Drosophila melanogaster: one gene and its partners. The gene in region 4 interacts genetically with the main gene of each other region. Each region holds a gene or a part of one and is shown on either strand. Other genes may lie near its edges.

Region 1 (3,081 bases), on a different chromosome or scaffold from region 4:
CTTGGCATCCAGGGACCCGGATTCCAGCTGGTGGGCACCGACAGCAGCACGATCACACTCCAAGCCATGGAATGCCGCTCGGTAGTGATCAACTTTTGCCCCACTGTCTGTGGAGCGGCCATCGGAGCCTTGTCTTTCTATGCACCACCAGGAGCGCATAACAGCAACCAGCCGGGCCTAGAGATTCCGTTGTACGGCTACGGGGGCAGTGCGTCCATCACCATAAACGGTCTGCTAAAGGGACCGGTGGGCGCCAGTTTCCTTACCATCGGCGATGTATGCGAGCTGTCCGCTGGTCCGCTTTCGGCGAATCTCAAGTTTCACAACAAGGGCCCTCTCACCGCTTTCGTTGGTATATCAGTGGACTCCACCGTGCTCATGAAACTGCGCCTCAGCGAGGCCTTCGAGGTACGTCCGAGCCGCTTGATATTGCCGCCAAATAGCGAGCGCTGCGTGCAGATACTTTTCCGACCGAATCGTGAGGACTTGAAGAACATACTTAAGAAGACCGCACAGGTGTTGACCCTGGCCAATATGCGGATTTTCTGCGGAGACGAGCCCAACAGACAGCGTATGCGTAGCTTGGTCCAAAGGATGAGCAGCCGACAGCGAGAGAAACTCACATCGCCGATGCTGGACAGCATTTGGGGCGAATTTCCGGACGAGCAGCCAGTGCGCAACATCGGTCAGCTGAACGAACCGCCAGAGTTTATTCTGGACTTGGTCACAGTAGTGCGGATTATTGATGTTGCGCTTACCCTCAATCGGGACTTTGATGAATCGTCTGAGAGTTCCCTGATGTTCCTGCCGGAGGCCGACGAAACCGTGCTATTCCGCACCATATGTGTGGCCAATTCGCCGACGCCAACGCAGAGCCATCTATTGGAGCCAGTGGATGAGCTATTGGAGGCGGACACCACAACGTTGACGCCCGTCGAGCAAAACTGGTGTGTGCAGCCAGGTTTGCTGGAATTCGGAGTGGGCTGTTCGCCACTGGCCACTTTGTCCGTAACCAACAGCTTCTGCTCCAGGCAGCTCATCGAGGTCACATGCAATGTGCCCGATTTGGTGCGAATCAGTCCCAGTGAGTGCTACGTATCCCCGGATGGCGGCCACGCGGAGATCGATGTGCGCCTGCTCCGCTCACCCAGGCAGGATTTGCTCGAAAGGGAGCCGCTCATTGTGGTCTCCATGGAAAACGAGCGCATCAGTGTCCCGATTAGTTTTAAATTTTAAAATTTGTTTTATTTGTGCCTGCTAATTCTGCTTTCCCTATGTTTGTGTAGTTAGTTTAAACAAAAATTGTATTGTGTACTTGTGAAATGAAACCGTGTTTGCAGAGTATTTGTAAGGAAAACGCATAACCCTAAAGTTAAAATACTCGCTTGTTTCCTAAAAGTTGAATTTAGCTTAAATAAAAACTAATAAAGTATATGAGTTAATTTTAAATTTTGATATGTTGCTCTCGAATATTCAAAAAGTAACGTATATGTAGCGATAGTTCGTCGAAAAGTGAGTTGGCGGGCACATTGCAAGGTGCAAGCCGAGTACGGTCACACTGAGGAAAGTGCATCATTTAATTTCCAGCATTTTCCGATGAAAATGGATGCCGACAGCAGTGGAACCCAGCATCGAGGTACCCACTATATAGTATAACCGATCTGATCAGATTCTGATCCAGTGCCATCTTTTTGTTGTTTTTTTTCTAGTGTCATATTGTGTGAAATGTGAAATGGATGAGAATGAACGCTGGACGACCAGACAGAGAAAGAGAAGCTAGGACAATAGGACTCTCAACTGCGCATTACGTGGATTCCGTCTCCGACGATGCGCCAAACACTATGCGTTAGATGCATTGACTAACCGCACACTCTTTTCACATAGATTCCCGTGGCTCAAGGTCTCGATCCCGGCGAGAAAGAGAATACCATGGGCGATCAAGCGAGAGGGACAGCAGAAAGAAGGAGCACAAGATTCCGTACTTTGCAGACGAGGTTCGAGAACAGGATCGGTTGAGAAGATTGCGCCAAAGAGCGCACCAATCCACCAGACGCACTCGCTCCAGATCCAGATCACAGTCGTCCATCAGAGAGAGCAGGCACAGAAGGCATCGCCAGCGCTCTAGGAGCCGCAATCGCAACCGAAGTCGCAGCAGTGAACGAAAACGCCGTCAACATAGCCGAAGTCGCAGCAGTGAACGAAGACGCCGTCAACGGAGCCCGCATCGGTATAATCCTCCGCCAAAGATCATCAACTACTATGTGCAAGTGCCACCACAGGATTTCTACGTTAGTAGTTATTTGTATTGAAACAAATAACAAATCTAACTTAAATCGATTTTGCAGGGGATGTCTGGTATGCAGCAAAGTTTTGGATACCAAAGGCTACCACGTCCTCCGCCGTTTCCACCGGCCCCCTACAGATACCGCCAGCGACCGCCGTTCATTGGAGTTCCGCGATTTGGCTACAGAAACGCGGGGCGTCCCCCATATTGAACATACTCCATTCGACATAATTACAAATTTATTTACATTCGTGTGTTTTGTACATTAAAATAATAAATACATATATATTTCAAACTAAAAATGGAGAACATAAAATATTGCAAACGGAGAACGTTGATTAAATCATGAGCAAATGCAGCAAAGAAGGCGGCAAAAAAAGGGTCACACGAGTTAGGAAGTGGAAGTTACTTAATTCTAGGAGGGATAACCATATATTTACGACTTTATACATGCACATTTACACATACACTCATGGTTTCGAGGGGACTAACACTAGCGACTCTCCTAATTACGATATTTACGCATTGTCAATAAATTATAAAAATAGATCATTTGTTGTGGCATTATACTAAAACAGTGGTTAGAGCTCGACCCGCGGACGAAACTGCAGCCGAAGCGGCGGATCCCGGAAGCGCCAGCGCGTCACGTAGACGAACTTCAGCGTGTGATCCTTGCCGAGCAGCTCCTCGTTGCACAGTATGTCGATCTGAAAGATAAGATACGTAGTTATCATATAAGTATGTGCCATGTATACAAGTAACTAAGCCAGTCTGAGCTTTCACTGAGAGCAGTTACT
Region 2 (6,422 bases), 3.7 Mb from region 4:
CTTGGGAGTTGGGAACTTGGGAGTTCATTAAAGGGAATCGTAAAATGAATTCGCCGGCTATAACCAGCCACTTTGCCATACAGCCAGCCTGCCGGTTTCGGTTTATAATCCATTTAACTGACTCAACTGCCAAACGGTCTAAAGTCAAATTCTGTGCGGCTGAAACGCAAAAGCGGTTTACGGCAACAAAAACATGATACATTTCAATTGACGAAAGTGACTATATAAGTGTTAACGCCCGCGGCTAATGGATCAGTACTCGATTACGTTCGCCGCCAGCAATTATGGAGCTAACTCTCGCCCTCGTCCTGCTGTTCGGATGTGCGTCCACCTACGGACACGCCTCCGATTTCCGTGAGTTGCACACACCCCCTTTCCGTAATATATAATGTTTATGTATATTTCACAATCGCCACGCCCCAATTTACAGCCTCGGGCATCGAGAGGTGCGCCATAATGGACGAGCAGTGCCTGGAGGACAGGGTGAACTTCGTGCTCAGGAACTACGCCAAAAGCGGTATCAAGGAGCTGGGCTTGATCCCCCTCGATCCGCTGCACGTCAAGAAGTTCAAAATCGGACGCAATCCGCACAGTCCGGTCAACATCGATCTCAGCTTCCACGAGATGGACATCTTGGGTCTGCATCAGGGAGTTGCGAAGCGAGTGAGGTGAGTGGATCCTCATTTCATTTTATGATCGCTCTGCTTACTACATTTTTCTGTTTCGGATTTTAGCGGATTCACAAGGGATCTCAGCCGCTCCATCGAGCTGGTCATGGAAGTTCCAGAAATAGGAGTCAGAGGACCCTACTCGGTGGACGGAAGAATACTCATTCTGCCCATCACCGGAAATGGCATTGCTGACATACGCCTCAGTAAGATTTGCCTCCCACAGCTTTGAAATCTAAAATTTTTAATGTGTTTCTGGAATTCGCAGCTAGAACAAAGGTACGTGCACAGATCAAATTGAAGCGCGTCTCCAAGGGCGATCATCAAACCTACGCCGAGGTGATGAACATAAAGGTTGAGCTGGATCCATCCCATGTGACCTACCAGCTGGAAAATCTGTTCAACGGCCAGAAAGATCTCAGCGAGAACATGCACGCGCTTATCAATGAGAACTGGAAGGACATCTTCAATGAACTGAAACCGGGCATTGGCGAGGCCTTCGGACTGATAGCCAAGTCGGTGGTGGACAGGATCTTTGGCAAACTGCCGCTCGAACAGCTCTTTGTAGTCTAAGACCTTAGTACAAACACCCTAATTAGTCCAAACACAAATCGTAAATATTTATTTGACTTTCAAAATACAAATGCAAAGCAAATAAGAAAAACTGGTAAGTTCCTCATACAAATAAAACGTAGTTGCAAAATAAATTCAGGCACTAAAGGATTTCTTATTTCTAAAGTTTAAGTAAAATACAGATTTATAAAAGTGAAAAGCAAACACATTTGTAGTTTTGCCAAATAAATGTAAACACAGTTAAACTTATATAAATTTGTTATCAATCTCAAAACAGGGGTAATAAATCGTTTTCATTTTGATTTTGTTTGTATCGATTTGATAAATATTTTTAAAAAGCTTATATAAGCTTATTCACGAATACAAATATGGAGTCCGCACTATTGGACAAATATATCTTACACTATAGATATGTTTACTTTACGAAATTATTGCTTCCCATGAGAAGAGTAGCTTTTTTAAATTGCATATTTGCTGTCATTCTTTTATCGATGTGCACAGCATTAGTTTAGCTTCTGAAGCGAGGTACACGTCCGGTGTGACGAGGTGGCGATGATGGCACTTCCTCGGTCTCCTCAAACTCCTCCTCCGACGCTGACGGCTGCTCCATGCTCACTGCGCCAAGCTTCTGTGGCCCGCAAATGGCGACAACACTGGGCGGGAAATAGGTCTCTGGATTGGCGATCAGAGCGGAGAGGAACTCATGCTGCTCCAGAACGCAATAGATCGGACCTCCCAGTTTGTATCTCTGGGCGATGAACAGATCCTCCGCACTGATTCCACGCGCTTCGGCCGCCCTTAGCTCGGCACCGGACAAAAGGATGGCCCGCTCGTTCAACGACTTGTGGCTTTCGGTCATGGCCCCGGAGTAGCGGTGCTCCAGATCCATTTCCCAGTTAAATACGTGCACACTGAGATGCGCAGCCTTGATCCAATCGCGCAGACCAATTAGCAATCTCTCCATGCGCTGAGTATGGACTGTAAATAATAAAATCGTTGCAGGAATAGCTGAATGGTTGCTTGCAAATCTACAGCTTACACTTGTCCGCATTGCTCCCCGAGTTTCCGTTTCGATTGCGCATTTTGGGCTTTAAAAGCAGTTTGAAGTTGTCCAAATAGGATGCGAAACCCTTAAGCAACTTGTCACACTCGTCGTATTTCTCGAAATCGAAGTGGCGATTCGCCTCCAAGGTGCGGCGCTGCTGGACAAGGAAGCGCTCTACTTTGGTGCACAGCACCTGCAGTTGGTAGCGCACATTCAAGCTCTTAGGCATCGTGCTCTTCACCGGCATATCGAACAGATAGTCCGAGGGCATTGAGTTTTGGCGCGAGAAGCCCAAATCGGCGGTCAGGTGATCATGCAGGGATCTGAACAGATTCATCAAACGCAGCACGGCGTTGTGCTCTAAGCTATTGTTTAGATAAGGAGCTTTTTATTATGTGATATATTTGGGATATACTCCAGAAGACTCACCAATCGCCGTGCAGACCAATCATATGCAGTTTCTCAATAGTTATGGGCAGTTTCTCAATATTATCCGCGGACGCAGAGCCTTTACTCTTCCGGTTCCACACATTTTCCTTCTGCAGTTGCTTCTGCTTTGGCCCGGTGACCAACACGCCTCCGGATCGCGACTTCTTGGCCGGAGAACCGTCGAATGCAAAATGGCGCGAGCGCTTTTGAATCTGTTGCAAGCAATCCAAACCGTGGAATTCGAGGAGTGGTGCAGTAACGTCACACAACCGGAGTCTACCGAAGTTCTCCTGGATTTCGGATAAAACGCCCGATGTGCAGGTTGCACCATCTTCGTTCGTATCCTCGTACTCACAAGTGGCTTTCCTCGGATCTTCGTTTTCATTGCCTTCCACCATTAAGGCCAAATGCTCCTCCATCTGCTTAAAATTGTGGTCCAACTGCTGGTCGTCGTTGCCCTCAGGACACACGTCACGTGCATTAAGCATTATTCTTAAGTTAAATCACACAAATCACTCGATTTTTGCCTTTTAAATCTTTCCTTATCGCCAGGTTCTTTTTACCGTTTGAAATGCCTGACGCCACGCTGTCTGCGAATTCAGGAGAAAGAGGAAGAATGATGGCGTCCAGACTCTTTGTTGTTAACGTATCGATATCATGTCGAGTCCCAGAACAGGGTTGCCGTCGCACAAATAAGTTTCAATTTATGGTCACCTCAAAAGGTCATTGACCCGGGCGCATTTAAAGAAATTTGAAATGCGATTCAATAATCCATTACGAACTTTACATTTTAACTACAATTATACACACTGATTTGGTCGATCACAACCAAATCAAATTGCTGATTAATTATAAAACAACATGCAACAATTTAGGCCACCTATATTTTAATTATCTAGTGGTTTTGTATAAAGCAAGCCAAAGCATTATTTAACAATTTGGGATTTATCACATTTTGTATAAATTATCATATATCGTGACAATAATAATGAAGTAGCAATAACCCATTTTCATATTCAATTTGTTTTTGTAATTCTGACGACGATAAGCTTCTAAAATTGCGCGCAAATTTAGAATAATGTATGGCATCCCCACTTCCTAACATCTGGCAGCTCCGTTAATATGACAAGCTTAGCTTAGACACAAACCAGTATACATTTTACATTTGTTGGTTCGAATACTGACTAGTTAAACAACGTGACTATTTTCATTTTTTTAATTATAAATATTTAAATAAATAAATAAATTCCGCTTCCCAACTTCTATAAAACTATACACATTTGATTCAATTTTTTCCAGACTGACGCAGCAAAATTTTGGCGCTCATCCAAATAAAAATAAGACAAACAAGCTAAGTATATGCGATCCGAATAACCAACCATTCTAAAGATTTTTTGAGTCGGTTACAAAATTCTTGAAAAAATGCTGAATGCCCAATCATTAGAAGCCTCACAAAATCTCGATTTAGAGCCTATGAAACATTCTTTATTGTTGTGAAGTTAATCAATGGTTAGATCTAAGCATAACTAGTGAAAAATTCCTGAAGTTTTGCCGCACAAGGGTATTTGCACACACAAGAGCTTCCATTATGGGCGGTTTCTTATCGGGGAACCCCAGCGATTGAGCTCCACTATCTATCCTGTTGGCAATTATCCACTTTCTATAAACAAATACGACAAGAACTGTTTTTTTTTTCACTTAGCCGACCACAACATCGTTAATTCTTTAATTCACAAAGCACAATGAACCAAAGGACCGCAGCAATTGAATTACAAGCTTTCTCTCGTATGGGTTCTGTGGTTTCTTTACGTTTTAGAGTTTTTATTAAAAAATTAATAATTTGTGGTTCATCGCGAGTCCCATTTTACTGTGGCTTCCTGCGGAAGGAGCAGCCTGAAAGAAAGACATCGTTTGGGTTAATTGCGAAGGAACATTGGACAGTGAGCATTTGGAGCATACCTTCTGTCAGCTTGGCGCGTCCTCCAGTCGGCTGGCACAAAATGGTAGCGCATCCAGCGCAGACCACGACGCCTTGGGCGTGGCTGAAGACGGTGGTGATCCTGTAGCAGCCGGGGCACTTCACGTCCATGAAGTACGAGTTGGGGTGCTGGACCAGGCGCTTCAGCTTGTGCTTGCGCTTCTCCTCGGCGGGCAGAGGGTGCAGAAGATCTTTTGCTAGCTGCAAGGTGAAAATAGTTTCAAAATTAGTATAAATTCATTTAATGTATATATTATACTATATGATTACGGCCAAATGTGTTGGATTACTTCAAGCCTAGATAATCCTCTAAATCTTAGTTATAAGTCGAAATTTCTTTGGCGCCAAACGTGTTGGTCCAACTTTGATCCAATAGGAAAACCAATTCTTTATTAATTAACGAAGAAGTAACTTTCTACCAATTTAAATACTTGAAAATATATTTTAAAGTATAACTACTTTGATCTTTAAGTTCTCAATTAACAATTCATTTGGGAAATAGATAACAATAGAATTGAATACAATGTTATCAGGCCACTTGACGATTCTAAGCCAGACAATTGGCACATTTTCTCTCGGTGTATCAACAAATGCAGAGCAGACTCCAGGCAACAACAACATAAATTCGCAAATGCGTGTTCTAGGTTATGTGCAAGGATATCCGTCGATTTCACATGACAGTGCAATCAATTCCTCCTGTAAGTCCCAAGATTCCATTTAAATCTCATTTGGCCATTTCACAACTGTTTGCAATTTCACTGGCGCACGCCATGCGTGGCTTGTATCGCACACATTCAATGGAAGCGGGCCAGACATTTGTTTTACAGTCTTTCAGGGCCGTTATTATCGGCCGACACTTGCTCCGTTTACACTGGACACTTTGGCGGTAATAAGCGGCCGTTTTTGGTTATCATTCGGTTGAGTTTTCTGTGTTTAAATTCAATTTTAACGCAATTCGGAACCCACCGGCATGTTTTTTCTTTCACAGCTAACACGGAAAAGGAAGTGGGGTAAATCGCAGCCAACTTAACTTGCCCGAGAATGCACTAAATAATGCTGAACAGCTGGGCGATGGCAACTCTGCTGCTCACGCTTTCCAATACTGGAGTGTGTGTTGCTTGAGTTCAAAATTTATTCTGACTTTATTCGTGTATTAGCAATAAATTTTATAAAAAGCAAACGCTACACAGTCGATATTAGGCATTACTACTATTACTATCATTAAAAAGTTCGCCGACGTATGACTACTTAAATATTGTTATGTTTCTTTTTAAGACTAGCCATTTTTATTAAAACTTGAGGCACAATAATGTAAGCATTAAACATAATAACGAATATATTTTCGAATAACATTTCTTTGCGTATTCTGTTTTTTAAAAGTGTAAAATCTTGGAAAATTCTTCCACTGATTTTTGGTCATACTAAAATAAACATTTTTTTGGCGCCGGCTAATTGTTGCATATATCCCGCGAATAACAAACAATATTTATAGAAAGATGCGATCTGTCATCGAGCCCGACCACAGCATCCAGCTTAATGAAGCCATCTACTGCTACGATATATGCACCAATGACTTTGCCTACAACCTAATCGCAGTGGCCTTCAGGAAACACTTGAGTCTGCTGCTCGTTGGACTGCCGGTGGGTTTCCATGCATAAGACCAGTGAAGGTTGAATGATTTTGAATGGTTAACCCTTAATCCGCAGGAGGAGAGCGGCGAGTTCGGGTA
Region 3 (6,755 bases), 7.3 Mb from region 4:
CGTTCGCCAGAGGGGGTGGCGGTGGGGTTGGCATGCTATAGCATATAGTACTATATCCGAATTTTGCACCCCACTGATGGCAAAGGGGTTGCTTTGCTTCTGCGACGGAAGGATGATGAGGAAGGAATTGCAGGGAGCGACGTGTGACGAGACTGTCGAGGAGCCTGATGAATGCCAGGCGCAGCTCTTCCAGGCTCTCAGACTTCAAATGCTGCCGGCCAAATGCGTCTGTGCTGGAAATTAACCGAAAGGATAAATGGCTGAGGGGCAAGTTGATAACTTTTCGAATGTTATCCAGCAAATGTGTACAACTAGTATTAGAGCTGGATTTAATGCAAGAAAATAATGCACAAAATTCTATTCCTAGGCGTTATGTTTCAACGTCAACATTCTCAGAGTTTGACATTTTCCCAGAGTTCAGGTAATGAAAAAAACTGTAGCATACTTTCCAGGGGAACTGAGTGATTATTATGATCACTTGTTTGTTATAGTTATGTTTTAATATTTTATTTTATCTTAGTGGCTTAAAGCTCTTTACAACCTCCCCAGTCATTCGCACCCGTAGCAAAAGTGCCACAAGTGTCTGAGTCAATTTTTGGACTATTGAGTTCATTGATCCAGTCCAAAAGGAGAAACATCTGCTCAAATATGTGCGCAACGCTTGTGCTAGCCACATATCTATGCCACCGCATTGTCTGCCACTACCCCACCCACCCTCTCGCCTCGCCCACCCGCAAGACTTTATGATATGACATACGGGAAAAAATCAAGCAAATTATGGTAAATACGCCTCTGGAAACTCACGCCCGCTTTCGGGTATCTGGAATGGGCAGAAACGGATACACAGATACTCACGAACGGCTGGCAAACACAAAACACAAGAGCACACAAAAACAGAAAAGCAAAAAAAAAAAAGAGCAGGAAAAAAAAGAAGCCAGCACTCGCACACGCATTTCCAGTTAATTAAAAGTATTTATGACACTGCGCACATAAAATGTCTTCCAAAGTACAAAAGTCCACCCAAGGATCGTGGGAAGTTCCCGCTTGCGCTCTTCTATCTGGTAGGCGAAAAAAAAAAACCATCTTGCAGAAAATGGTTGAAAAAAAATCAAGCATAGAGATACTCTAATTGCATATGTGTTGGGCAAGGGATGGGAAGGGGGAAGGGGCAGGCGCAGGGGCCAAAGTTCTTCCTCTCTTTCTGCGTCCGTGAGGGGTGATTCTCGCCCCTCTTCTTCATATTCGTATTCTCATTCTTCTTCTTCTTCTTCTTGTCTGCCGGTCTGGCTTATGGGAAATGTGAAAAAAATCACACTCACGGATCTGTGAGTGTCCTCGCCTCAGCAACCCACCCAAGAGAAACCCAAAGGATAACAGCCTCGAATCCAAAAAAAAAAACTGCCTAAAAAGTTAATAGAAATCGAAAACTGGAAAGGAGATTACATTTCTGGTAGGAGGGGGGGGGGATGTTTCTCAGTTACTGGGCTTGGGATTATGGGAATGGGAAACACTGCGCAGATCGCCTGGCAAGTTGTACTGATTTGCGAGATACATTTGTGCACACAAAACCAGGAATGCAAATGGCAGCGGGCATGAGTTGTAAATATTTAATCAGATTGTTGTTAGAAAAAGTGACATGGTAGCGATTTTGGGATATTTATGAGTACAAACTTTGCATTATTCCAGAATGTATGAGTATTGTTTGTTTAGTAGAAAGTGCTTTTGCACTAAAGTAGATTAATAGTGGAATAACAAATAATATAAGAATGGAAAGTCAAATGTTTGAGCAGGTTTCTTTAATCAGGTCAGTTGCTCAGCAAATAGGTGAATTTTTACACTTCAGTTAGTATTTACTTAATTAAATACTAACTTTTCTCTATAAAGTTGCAAATCTTTAAGGTATATTATATGATTAAGCTGTGAGCTGTGAGATGAGCATACTTGGCTTTAATCTCAGGCATAATTTTTATGATACGTAGAAATTAATAGATTTGTGTGCGACAGTGTCGAGTTATGCGATAGACCCATTTAATGCCTATTTCCGGCCTTAAAAAGTGTACCCCTTGTTGATGGGGCGCTGAAAATCGGCAACGCTGCTGTGCTGCTGCAACTACAACAATGTCGTCACTGCAACGCAATGCAACACTTGGCACACAACTGATAAAGATAAAGAAGATGGTGAAGCGGTTGGTTGAGCGGGAGGGGAAAGGTTCTCTGCCGGCGTCGCTGTTGATGTGGGTGCGGTAACAGCGACGTCGCCACTTCCGTCTGAGCGATTTTTAGCCGATTTGTAGCCGGCAAGCCGAAGAGAGCGAAAAGGGTTGGGGGCCAAAAGCAAAAGCCGCTCTCACCGAACATTCGAGTCTGGCTTCCACATGCCACATGTGAAGAGTAGGAAGCGGCGCCACTCACATTCCACCCTCTTGCGCTTTCGCTTTCCGCCCCCTTCTCCACATTCGTTCTCTCTCGTGCTCAGCTGTTGCCGCTAATTCGCTGCAATTAGCGTGGTTCTCTTAGCTTCAAGCATTAGTTTTTATATCAACAGAATTTTAAAATTAAAAACTTCAAATAAAACTTGGACCAAAGATTTAATTAAAAGCTGATATTAGGTAAAATAATGTAGCATTTAAAAAACAATTCAGGAAGTGATTAACAGCGCTGTTATAGGTATTTAACTTCGCTTATAAATAATTATATTTTTCTTTTAACACTCAAATGTATTTATTCATTGCAAAATATTAATAACCCAAAATATTCGTTCCCTTTTGAATTGACAACCTATCGTAATATCGAATAGCTATCGTTTGATCAGTTTTGTCTCCACTCAATTTACGATCCACTCTCTTCTGCTCTCACTCTCTCGTGCCGCGAGCGCTCAGCTGCTGACGCCTCAAATTCGCCGCTACAAGAGACGCCGTGCGTTTTGTGGCTCGTTGCTTGTTCTGTCGATTCGCCGCGTTCAGTGTTGTTGTCGCGTCGTGACGCTGCTGTTGCCGCTGCCGCCCCCACACACATGTGCGAGCAGAAAACACGTTACGAGGGGAAAATCGACGGAAAAATCCGAAAAAAAATAGAAAAGCTAACTGAAAAGAGTACAAGACTGAGGTATTGATAAGTTAATGTGGTTTAATACACTAATTAAGCGTAAGTGGCCGGTATTAAAAGTGCCATTACGGTGGTGCTTACGTTTTCTCCGTCTGACGTAAGACGACTCCCTCTCTCGCTCTCTCTCTCTATCTCGTGTCTCTCCGATTCTCTTTCTCCGCGTGTGGATTGCGTTTTGCCGGCGACGGCGACTCCAAAAAAGACACGGCACAACACACTTTGTGGCCCAAGTTCAGTTCGCTTTTCGTCGCCAGTCCGCAAAAATGTGAAAATGGAAAACTGAGAGAAAAACCAAAAAGCCGCAAAAGACTGCCTCTGCAAGTAAAAGATTCAAGTCGCTGAGTAGCAATAGCAAATGCTCTAAAAAATCAAGAATAAAATAAAATAAAAGTGCGGGCGTGTAACAATTATGTGATATCTACAACAAATGCTCGAACTGCTGACGTCACGCACAGAATCGTAGAATATATAGAGAATAAAGAAGAGAAACGAAAACGTCGCGTAGTAAAGTTAAAAGTTCCCACACCACCGACGTACTCACACTCGCACACACACAGACTGAGTCAAACGAGTAAGAAGCAGCAGCACATTATACGTGGAATACAAAAAGTAACCGACAGAAAAGGCAAAACGCCCGCAAAAAAATGAAAAATTTGCAAATATGAAACGTGTGTGATATTCAAAAAGAGCAAGAAGAAGCAGGCGGCGGTGGAAAAAAAAGCAGAGCAATTTGTTGTGGTTGCGTGTGATATATAGAAAGCAAGTAAAACCAACAAAAATTCCATTTTTAGGTGCGTATTCAAACAAGACAAAAAAAAAGAAGCAAAGGGAGTTTCCACCTCACCTTTGATGATCAATTAATCATTCAATTTTGGGCTAAGCCCTCTAATAACCTCCAAAACCGATACGGTGAATAGCAGTCATTCGCTCACTCATTCAATCCCCCAACGCTCCAGTTTTCAGAGATAACGAATCGAAAATTCGGAGTCCATCAGTTTTTATTTCTATTTGCCCAAAGTCGGCGGCGATTTCTTTATGGCGCCCCCCAGATTAACATTTTACTAGATGTTAAGACAACAGTGCAGGTAACAGTTTGAAGAACTCGTGGTTTTTCTTCGAAGATATGGACAAAAATACATTTCAAGTTAAAATTAATTGTGTAAAACCGTCCAGCACAATATTAGCCAACTAACTGGCGTTTTTGTGTTGACGTGGATACTGAGGAATGCAAAATTAAAGCTGCACTGCAGTCATAAATATCAACTGAAATGTTCAATAGACATGTAATAATTAGGTAATGTGTTTGTTTTACAAATTAAAGTGATCTAAATGTTTTAAAATCTCAGATCATTTGTCTCTTTAATATTTTCTGTGGTCTTGAATTTGCCGGTTACTTCTACCAGTTTCGTCGGGTTAATTGGACTTGCATCAACAGTTTTCCGCTTTAATCTGTGCATGTACTTGACGACTGCACCACATAGTGTGTACATTATGTGTGGCCCCTGTTATCAGGCCTTGTGAGTACACAATATTCGATTGGCTCTAAATGCGTCATCGCGTAAATGGCCAGGCGAAATGAAGTTTTGTACATTATGTACAAAATTTTGGTGTATGAAACGCAAAGGGGACTTCCCTGGAATTCATTCTGCTTTCCTTGCCGGCATTGATATTCCACACCCACGCAATAATTTTTCCTTTCCCGGGCTTTCATTATGTTTGCAGTTTTCTGTGGGCGAAATATTTTGCGACGCATTTTGTGCGCCTCTCCCTGGACAAAAAGCCGCCTTCTCTTTTACTCGTTCTCTTTTTCTTGACTTGGCCAGTTGGCAATTATTTTTGGCTTTCTCAAACGAAAAAAGCTAAGGCGAGGCTTACAGCCGTTTTATTTTATATTACTATTACCTTATTTCATTTCTGTAAGTGTGCAATTAAGTGGCTGCCTTCTGTCTCGGTCCTTGCGGTTCATAAGAAAGAAGCCAAGTGTGTGTAATTGACCAAATGAAATAAAGATGATAGAGAAAATAAAACCGGCTAGAAAAAAGCATCCATGGGACCAACAACAACAAAAAGATGAAGAGAGATGTTCCATGTGGATTGTGTCTGTGAGTAACAGCTGTTATTCGGATTCAGGCCGGCTTTTACTCTCAGTCTCTTTTCCCTAGCAGCATCCCCCTCCAACACACACACACACCGTGGGAGACTCTCTCTTTCTCTCTCTGGACTGCCGCTTAATACACAAAATTCGTGTTCTTCCTCTTTTTCTGGCTTTTGATTCACTTTTTTCCCTCTATTGCAATTGTTGTTGCTTAACACCTTGCACACTCGCACATTATTTATTTGTATTTATTTCACTTGTCCCTGCCTTTTTACTGCGCATGCAAAATGATGTGCAAAAAGAAAGCGAAACTTTTTATTAGCTCTTGGTATCTGTGTGGGTGTTAGTGAGCATGCATGTACATACATATGTATGTTTTCGTGTGCTTGTGCTTATGCCTGTGTGTGCGTGAGTCTGCATACATAACAACGTATATAATTAATAGCCATGTAAATGCATGATCTTCATAATTAATAACGGTAAATTGGCATGCCAGAGGAATACAGTTATGGCTGCAAATTAAATACCAGCCATTAGTTGCATTCGAATTGGGATTTTAGCTAATATTTTATTAATTAGTGAATTGAGATTTCATGTCTGCAATTGGGCATATTTATTATTCGGGGGCAGACTAAATTTAAGTTATAAAGAGTAAAGATCCGTTAATTTAACAATCTTCACTACACCTTGCGGCCGGTTATTGTTGCTATACTAATTCGAAATTAACACGGAGAACGTGAGAGCAGAGTAGTGGCAGTGAAAAGGTGAAGGGAGGGGAGGCGGCAGCGCTATCAAAAGTCGCATTGCGTGCCCTGAGTCGCTTGGCTGCCTCCCTCCCCCGTCAAACACCCCTCCCCGCCCACTGAAAACCCCCAACGGAATTATTTACTCGGCCACTACATAATGTGTACGTTTTATTTTCTAGCCTTTTCTTTATCAGTCATACAAATGTTGTACGGGCAAAGCAAAAGCAAAGCAAGGAAAAGCTATTCTAGGTTTTATTGTAGCTCCGCTCTGTTGCGCCAATGTTGATTGAAAAACGTAGAGATAGGAAAAAGAGAAGGAAACAATGAAAAATAAAGAAAAACTTGTTATTTCTTTGCCGTGTAGGCCACATTTTCCACGATATTCCACTGGCCGCTTCGTATTTTCATGTTCATTTCCCTGTTTGCATAATGTTATTTTTTCTCTGTTTGCTTCGCTTTGTGCTTCGCCTTCAGCAGTTAGATAAATGTATGCAGAGATGACTGACAAGTGCACTTAGAAGTTGTTATTATAAAGATAAAGATATTTTATCTTCGAAATACATTTTTCAGTGGCTATTGTTTGGAGAAACTTGAAAAGCGTCTAACAAGTTTTGTAGTATAATAAATAGTGATGACAGAATCATGAGTGAGCTTGTTAATTTGTAATTACGTGTACATTTTAACTATCCATTAAATAAAAACGCTGTGTCAAGCTGTGAAGCAATTTCTTACTGTTGATAAGATAGAGATGTCCCCTTCGTAACCCCTGCATAATAATAAAATGTAATGTAATGATGCAATTTTAGGGC
Region 4 (6,863 bases):
GTTTTCAATCAAAACCCGTTCATTCAGCCTTTATCGCGGTTTTGTGTGTTATGTGTGTGTGCGTTTATTTATGGTATTGTTATATCTTACACAATCAAACCATTGCACTTCCTTATTTTACAACCCATAACTATTCCCAAGTGTATTAACGTGTTCCTACCATCGAGGTAAATTCTATAAAACAGATTTCGAACAAAGCACAAGAGGAAGGAGACACCAAACACCAGACGAACTACAGACACCACAAGGCGATCACCAACACGACGACGACCAACCTGCAGATACTGCTCCGGTATCTTACTGTTCTTAGGCACAATGATCTTCTTGATGATGATAATCTTGTCGCCCTCGATCTTGGTGATAGTGATGGGAACGCCGGGCATAGGACGCTGTGGCTTGACGGGCACAGGTTGCTTGGGAGCGTTTCGAATTACTTGGGGTCCAGTAAGGATGCCACCGGGACTTGGTTTAGCAGCTGGAGGAGCAGGCTTGGGTTTTGGTTTCTGAGCAGGCACGTGTTCCTTGTGGTCGCTGCGCACAATGGAGAAGTGGTACAGTGGTTTATCGTCGTCTAGAATGCTCTTTTGCGGTACAGTTTTTTTCTCCACTCTACGCAGGACGACTCCCAGCATGGGCGATTCCTTGGGCTTGATGGTTATCGATCCACTGGGCGCTGTCACCCGCTTGAGGCTCACTCCAAGGTTAGTGCCCACTGGTGGCGGTGTCTTCGTTCGATGCACCATTTTTCCACTGGGTATCTCACGGTAACCATCGTCCATTCGCCGCCGACGACGATCCTCTTCAATCTGTTCTTGAACCCTTGGATCGGGATTAGTGTGCAGAGATGGTTCGGGTGCCACCAATGGCGATGGCCCAGGAAAGAGTGATGTCAGACTGCTCCGCCGCCGGTCCATGTTAGGCGCTGACACCGTCTTAGTGAGTGGAAATTTGGTAGGCTGTGGAGGTGCTGCCATAAGTGGTGGTTCCACACCGGTGGCACTCGTGGTGCTACCACGTCGACTGCCTGCCTTGCTAGGTTGTCTGGATGCCGATGCACTGGCCGAGTCCAAGCTGCTCATGCTGGCAGAACTCTGGAGGCGATCTGGAGCAGCGCTCCTTTCGCGATTACGATCTGGCGAAATGGAACGCTCTCGACTACGATTGTGGGAACGGGCATCCCGAGCAGCTCGCTGCATTCTCAGCAGCTCAATCGAGTCAGCTATGTGAGAGGTACTCTTCTTAGGCGGTGAGTCATCTTTGGAAGAGGCCTTCGGCTGCGAAACGTTAAGAAGGTGCATCTCCATGGCATCATCTATGTTGCAGGGTAGCGAAGCAATGCGTTCTCTTGGACCTGAATTGGTTGGAAGGGAACCCTTGGTTAGTTCCTCTTCCTCATCGTTGTCGTCGTCTTCATCATCCTCCTGCTCCTCCTCTGCCTGTTGCCTGATGCGCCGTTCCTCCTCTTCCTGTTGCCTGCGTTTCTCGCTCTCCATCACCCGCTGCAGCTGAGCCTGCACCTCGAGGGCAGCACGTGCTCTGGCCTTGGACTCGGCCTCGCGGGCCTGACGAAACTGTTCCTGGGCAATTGCTAGAGCTTCCGCCTCCGCCTGTGCTCGAGATCTGGCCTCCGCTTCTGCGGCTGCTGCTGCCCTAAGTGTGGCCAAATCCGTGGCCGTCATCTGCTTTATGCTCAGGCGGCGCTCAGTATTGAGGATCAACTCCACCTGGGTGCTACCGCCCTGCGGCTTTTGCGCCGCGAGGTCTGGACAGCCAAGGGCGATCAGTTCGCTAAGTTCGTTGGACATTCCAAGGGGTGTGGTGAACTTTTCGGTTGATTGTCAGCTTTCTTTCTGGATCCCAAGGGGAAAAATTACTCGATTATCTAATATTGCACTGGCGGCTCCCTCGAATTGCGTTGGGTTCGACTAGCTGGGCAAGACTCGCGAGGCTGCCAATGTTGGCCCCAAAGGAAACCTGCGCAACATCGGATTATTTCGTATTGGTTCTATTCGGATCAGATCGGATCGGAACAATCGATCGCACGCTCAATGTCAATGTCTCATTGGCATTTTGGCAAATGCCCGACGACTTGACTTACTAATTGTATCAATGGTCGCCGTTCGACCAAAGACTGCTTCTTTTTGGCGCCCATATACATCCGACATATATATGGGTACAAGCATGTATAGCACCCCCAATTTGTTTTGGTATATAGAGCAGAGACATATACAAATTACAAATCGTAAACAGCAATGAGCTCATTGATCGCGGCGCCGCCTCATCAAAAAGCAAACCCCCTACCCCTTTGCGATTCTAGCCAAAAGATCTGCACCTTGCCCTAAATCTATTGCGATGTGTGGAATATGTGTGAATATCCCTGGAGAGATCGTTTTAGCCTATGTGTGATATCTCGGTGGGGTTCATTGGGCATCTTTCCCTGCCATTCTGTGTTCGGTTCGAAATCTGTTTTTATTTTTAACAAATGGACGACGTTATACCTAGTACACAGTACGTGTGACGCTAGTGCCAGTACAGTGAAACCTCGATCAGCCATGCAAATTGAACTGACAGCTCTCATTTGGAAGATGCATCTCTGATCTCTGATAATCACATTCGACTGATTGGATTTTTTAATTCACTTTGAGTTTCCATTAATTTTCTGATCTTTGCTGAGCTCTGGCTTAGCTTTCACTGTACCGAAAGCACACACATTCGAGTTGGAAAATCTGAAGGGGAAAAGTTTTCCACCCCAGTTGACTTTTATTTTGGTTGGCATCATCATATGGCCAAAATTTAATCATGTACAAGTTTGTGTCTTGGATTTTTGCTATAAGTTTGTTGTGGCAACTAAATATAAATGCAAGCCTTACGAAAATAGCTTTCGAAAATTATAGAAAACGCCAGCTAAGCGGAAAGTGGAGGATGGAGGGCAGCGGAAGGAGACGCCGGAGCGGCGGAGATCAACATGATGATGATGTGGCAGCCTGATGAATAATCCCGCCGATCTGTAGCGCACATATAGATAGTTTGTATCTATGTGGCACACACACTAACGGACACACACGTGTGTGCTCCATTTGTTAGTTTTGAGTTTTTGTTTTGATTTGCTTGGCCGCTGCGTTGTCTTCTTCGCCTTCATCTCCGAGTACACAGAAAACATATTCACCATATTATCTAAGCACAATAGTAACTAAACTGTTTTTACTTGTTGACCCTTAAACTTTTGGAACATAGTTAACAAAGAAATATGGTTTGAAGATATATATCATTCCATAGTCCAAAATGTTTTTAAACTATCTTCATTTCTATCTGTGTATTCGATTGAGTGAATGTTGCACTAGTCTCCTCCATCCCCATACGCTATTTCTATTAAAAGTATCTTTCGCCTCGCTAATTGCAAACTTGGTGGAGAAGTGCAAAGTTCACTATCAGCGTTTTGGACGTTTCACAGCTGCTCATCAGGCTGGATGGTATCCCACTTGATATTATTCCGAATTATACACTCGCCACCATTGGCGGGGGGTCAATAAAACAGTTTGGCTATGGTATCTTGCATCGCGTTTTGTTTAAACAAATACAGTCCGATGAATATCGCGCACTTTTTTTTAACACTCAGTGTTTTGTTTGATGTTTTTTTCGCTTTCGACAATTTTGTTCTTGCCGCACTGCTACTGTTTTATTTTTAAAACACTTAAATGTTCTAAGTTTTGGGTTGTTTTTTGTTCTTGCGCTTGATTATGTCACGGTGCCCAGCAATTGTTCTACCTATCCTATCGTTCCGAAATGCGTTTCTATATTGCACATACGCTCCGTATGTACCTCTAATTATTGTTCTATTCGATTATTTGGTGTTTCTCAGCCAAATACAAAAAGAAAAGGAATATTCAAAGCACAAGAAACGCACACACACCACACACGCACACACACACATCGATAAACAAATTGCGCGAAAGGAGACGATCAATATAGAGATCGGGGGGATCTGACCGGATAGAGAGAGACAGCGAGTGTGCGGGGGATCCCCGTGGTACCCGTACCGTTACACGACGAAGACGAAGCGACGACAATATGTAGTTTATATGGTTTATATGGCAGCAGTGGCGGCGACACACAGCCAACAAACGTAGATTTCAATCTGTTTCGGTTTCCTCGAATTTGAAAATTCTCAGCCGAAAACTGGCCGCAGATGAGAAGAGCGCAGACTTTCGGCGGCGCGTGTATTTATAATTTTCCAATGGCCACGGAGCAAATGGCAAGTAGATGCTTTTCCGCCGGATGAAGCTGCGCGCGCATCTCCGAGAAAGAAGTATCAGCTGTGCGCCATGGGCCATAGGTAGTTTAGACGAACATGCGCACAGTGCGGAGAGGAATCCCCAAGGCGTCGCTCTCGGGAGCCCATAAACATGTGTGTATTTGGGGGCATGATATAGACAGGGAGAGTGAGTGGGCACCGTGTAAAATCGGTGTATATAGCGGCGGTCAAAGCAGTAGCATTGCCAATAAATCATGCCAAAATTTCCAGAAGACTTAACATTTGTGTTTGCAGAAATTCGAATAATATATGGACGACCATTTGACTTGAATCGACATGTGTACATATATCACATATACAGATTATAACTAACAATTTTAGTTTAAAACAACGAAGGGAATTTGTTAGGATTACAATTACTACTGTACATATTTTTTTCCACAATATTTTTGAAAAAAGGTTGTGTTCCTATAAAATTGTAGGACCGACAATGCATCACGAGAAAACGAAAGATATTCGCCGACAATCTGTGACTCGGAATGGGGACGACTCACTAGATAGTCGTCATTGTGGTCCACAAAGTACTCCTCGATGATCCAATTGTCGCCGGCGTACTTGTCCACAGGCATATCGCTGAGGGCCACAAGATCAAAGTGATTACGTTGCCGTTTTAGCAGCAGGCAGCGGGTAATGGCCACGCTCTCTCCGTCACCGGGTGAAGCATCCTCCTCCAGATATGTTTCCAGGCCACAGCCATTCGCCCCATTCCGGATGATGAGCTGCTGCTCCAACTGCTTAAAATACTGAATCTTGGCGGCCTGGGGACTAAACGATGACGCGGAGGGAATTCTATGCGAGTTACTCAGCCCACTTAATTGGCGGCGACATGGGCAACTGGCAATGCTGGCGAGGAGCAGTTCGCATCATCCGCAGCAGCAATAGCAATATCTCATCACATCTCAGAGCAGCAAAGAAAACTCTGGCCGCCGTCAACGAGTTAATGTCAAATGATCAATTGAACGAAAATAACTAGAACAGCGGGGAGTGTTGGGCACAGGGGTAGCTATAAAGAACCACCAACAGTGAATGAGAACTATAAAGTTCTCGTTTAATTGAGAGCTGTTTTTCATACAGCTAGATGCCACGAAGAACGCATAGAAATTGCTTAATTTGCACATGAATATTGCCAAGGTTTCGCTTAACTGCTCTATTTAAGTACCATTTTATTACTGATGAATACAGCTCAAACCGAGTTTCCGCTCTAAGCTTTTAAAAAATGATTATCTCTTAAAATTTTGATTATATTTAAAGTGGCTACTGTTTTTTTTCAAACCTACACTTGAATAACAAAACCAATAGTTATTTGTAATTATGTAACATCTAAGTTTCTGAATTTCGACACAGTTTAAAGGCCTTGCCCAACCAAGTTACTTTGTTTCAAGTACTATCTTATCAACTCATGCTGCTCACTCAAGTGCTCCGCCTCTTGAAGCCCTGAAGCATTTATTTCCATATTCAGTTACACTGATTACAGTGACTTTCCCATGTAATCACTGTACCAGAAGACCAAGAACCAGAGCAATGTGACACATCTAATGACAAATTTAGCTCAACTCAACGCCGCATAGATAAGAAAGTAGAGAGGGATCGAGTGCAGCGGCGAACGATCATGATAGCGCGCTGATCACTTCACCGATCCACTCGAGAATAGGGTGTACTGCAAGACGCACACAAAAGTAAGGAACGATAGGTTAGTCAAAAGGAGGAGAAGGGGAAGGGGAGGTGGGTGGGTTCGATTGATAGCACAACATACATGCTTACTAGATAATCGCTGTCGTGATCGACAAAGTACTCAACGACTATCCAATCATCCGTGTACGGCATAAAACGCAGTGAACAGCTGGACAGGATCAGATCGCGACAGTGATCCACGACCGGTGGCGCCGGCAGATCACGCATCTTGATGTAGCACGGGATCTGGGAGCTCTCGAAGTGATCGGCCACCTGCTGGGACTTCTCAAGATACCGCTTGAAGAACAGCATGATGGGGGAGGAGTCGATGGAAGCGATCTTCTAGCACTGATCAGACGGACGGCACAGATTTTGGCAATGGCAGCACAAGGATTGGAAAACGCAGGTGGTGGTTAAATGAGATCGGTCCGGTGTGTTCGTATTATCTATCTGTCCGCCTAGTTTGTTCTTTTACCATTTTGTTTTGCTTTTAGCTTTCGTTTTCAGTTTGTGAATTTTCTTTGGGGTTTCCTTTTTTTTTCGTTGCCCTGCCTACAATTTTCACTTGTTTGCTACTTGTGGTGTGTATAAAATAAAAAGTTTTTACCTTAGCCTGCGACTGGCGGTTGTTGCGTCCGCTGTCGCGTTCGTCCTTGGCGCGATCACGGTGCCGCCGGCGGGAGCTCGAATGGGACGTCTCGTCCCTGTAGCGGTATTTGTGCTGCCGTCGACTGGCGGCGGGCGACTTGCGGTGCGAACGCTTCGAACGCTCCTTGCGTCGGCGGGTTGAGATGCTGTCATCGAAACTGCAAAAAGAAAGGTGTCCGGTTAGTTCGATCTCTTGAGGTATTACCTAACCAACCACCCGGCGACAGCAGAT

What was found.
Region 1: of Doa (region 4) and tra, changing one suppresses a phenotype caused by changing the other (phenotypic suppression), as found in Drosophila melanogaster (2 studies listed by BioGRID).
Region 2: of Doa (region 4) and bam, changing one suppresses a phenotype caused by changing the other (phenotypic suppression), as found in Drosophila melanogaster (one study listed by BioGRID).
Region 3: of Doa (region 4) and E2f1, changing one suppresses a phenotype caused by changing the other (phenotypic suppression), as found in Drosophila melanogaster (one study listed by BioGRID).

The regions. Positions count from the first base shown.
Region 1 is NT_037436.4:16,589,559-16,592,639, reverse strand, and holds tra (transformer), read left to right. Parts: upstream 1-1,589; 5' UTR 1,590-1,596; coding exon 1,597-1,636; intron 1,637-1,709; coding exon of another isoform or gene 1,710-1,780; exon of another isoform or gene 1,781-1,884; coding exon 1,885-2,288; intron 2,289-2,345; coding exon 2,346-2,495; 3' UTR 2,496-2,581; downstream 2,582-3,081. Other genes in the region: spd-2 (spindle defective 2), read left to right, coding at 1-1,236; l(3)73Ah (lethal (3) 73Ah), read right to left, coding at 2,866-2,991. UniProt on the Drosophila melanogaster protein: Member of the regulatory pathway controlling female somatic sexual differentiation, regulated by Sxl. Activates dsx female-specific splicing by promoting the formation of a splicing enhancer complex which consists of tra, tra2 and sr proteins.
Region 2 is NT_033777.3:25,241,774-25,248,195, forward strand, and holds bam (bag of marbles), read right to left. Parts: upstream 3,337-6,422; 5' UTR 3,204-3,336; coding exon 2,716-3,203; intron 2,652-2,715; coding exon 2,281-2,651; intron 2,220-2,280; coding exon 1,750-2,219; 3' UTR 1,266-1,749; downstream 1-1,265. Other genes in the region: CG11854 (uncharacterized protein), read left to right, coding at 285-354, 431-668, 735-874, 937-1,241; RpS27 (ribosomal protein S27), read right to left, coding at 4,580-4,608, 4,675-4,894, 5,660-5,665; Nup37 (nucleoporin 37kD), read left to right, coding at 6,190-6,333, 6,400-6,422. UniProt on the Drosophila melanogaster protein: Regulatory component of a deubiquitinase complex consisting of bam and otu. The complex deubiquitinates K63-linked polyubiquitinated proteins, antagonizing the ubiquitination activity of Traf6 and regulating the IMD immune signaling pathway.
Region 3 is NT_033777.3:21,629,274-21,636,028, reverse strand, and holds the start of E2f1 (E2F transcription factor 1), read left to right. Parts: upstream 1-2,955; 5' UTR 2,956-3,105; exon of another isoform or gene 3,106-3,896; intron 3,897-6,755. UniProt on the Drosophila melanogaster protein: Transcriptional activator that binds to E2f sites. Required for wild-type growth in mitotic and polytene tissues, Contributes to the expression of replication genes at the G1-S transition and Cyclin E.
Region 4 is NT_033777.3:28,900,750-28,907,612, reverse strand, and holds the start of Doa (darkener of apricot), read right to left. Parts: upstream 4,136-6,863; 5' UTR 4,038-4,135; intron 1,975-4,037; exon of another isoform or gene 1,851-1,974; 5' UTR 1,806-1,850; coding exon 276-1,805; intron 1-275. UniProt on the Drosophila melanogaster protein: Dual specificity kinase involved in the negative regulation of microtubule-based transport through phsophorylation of the microtuble-binding protein eEF1gamma.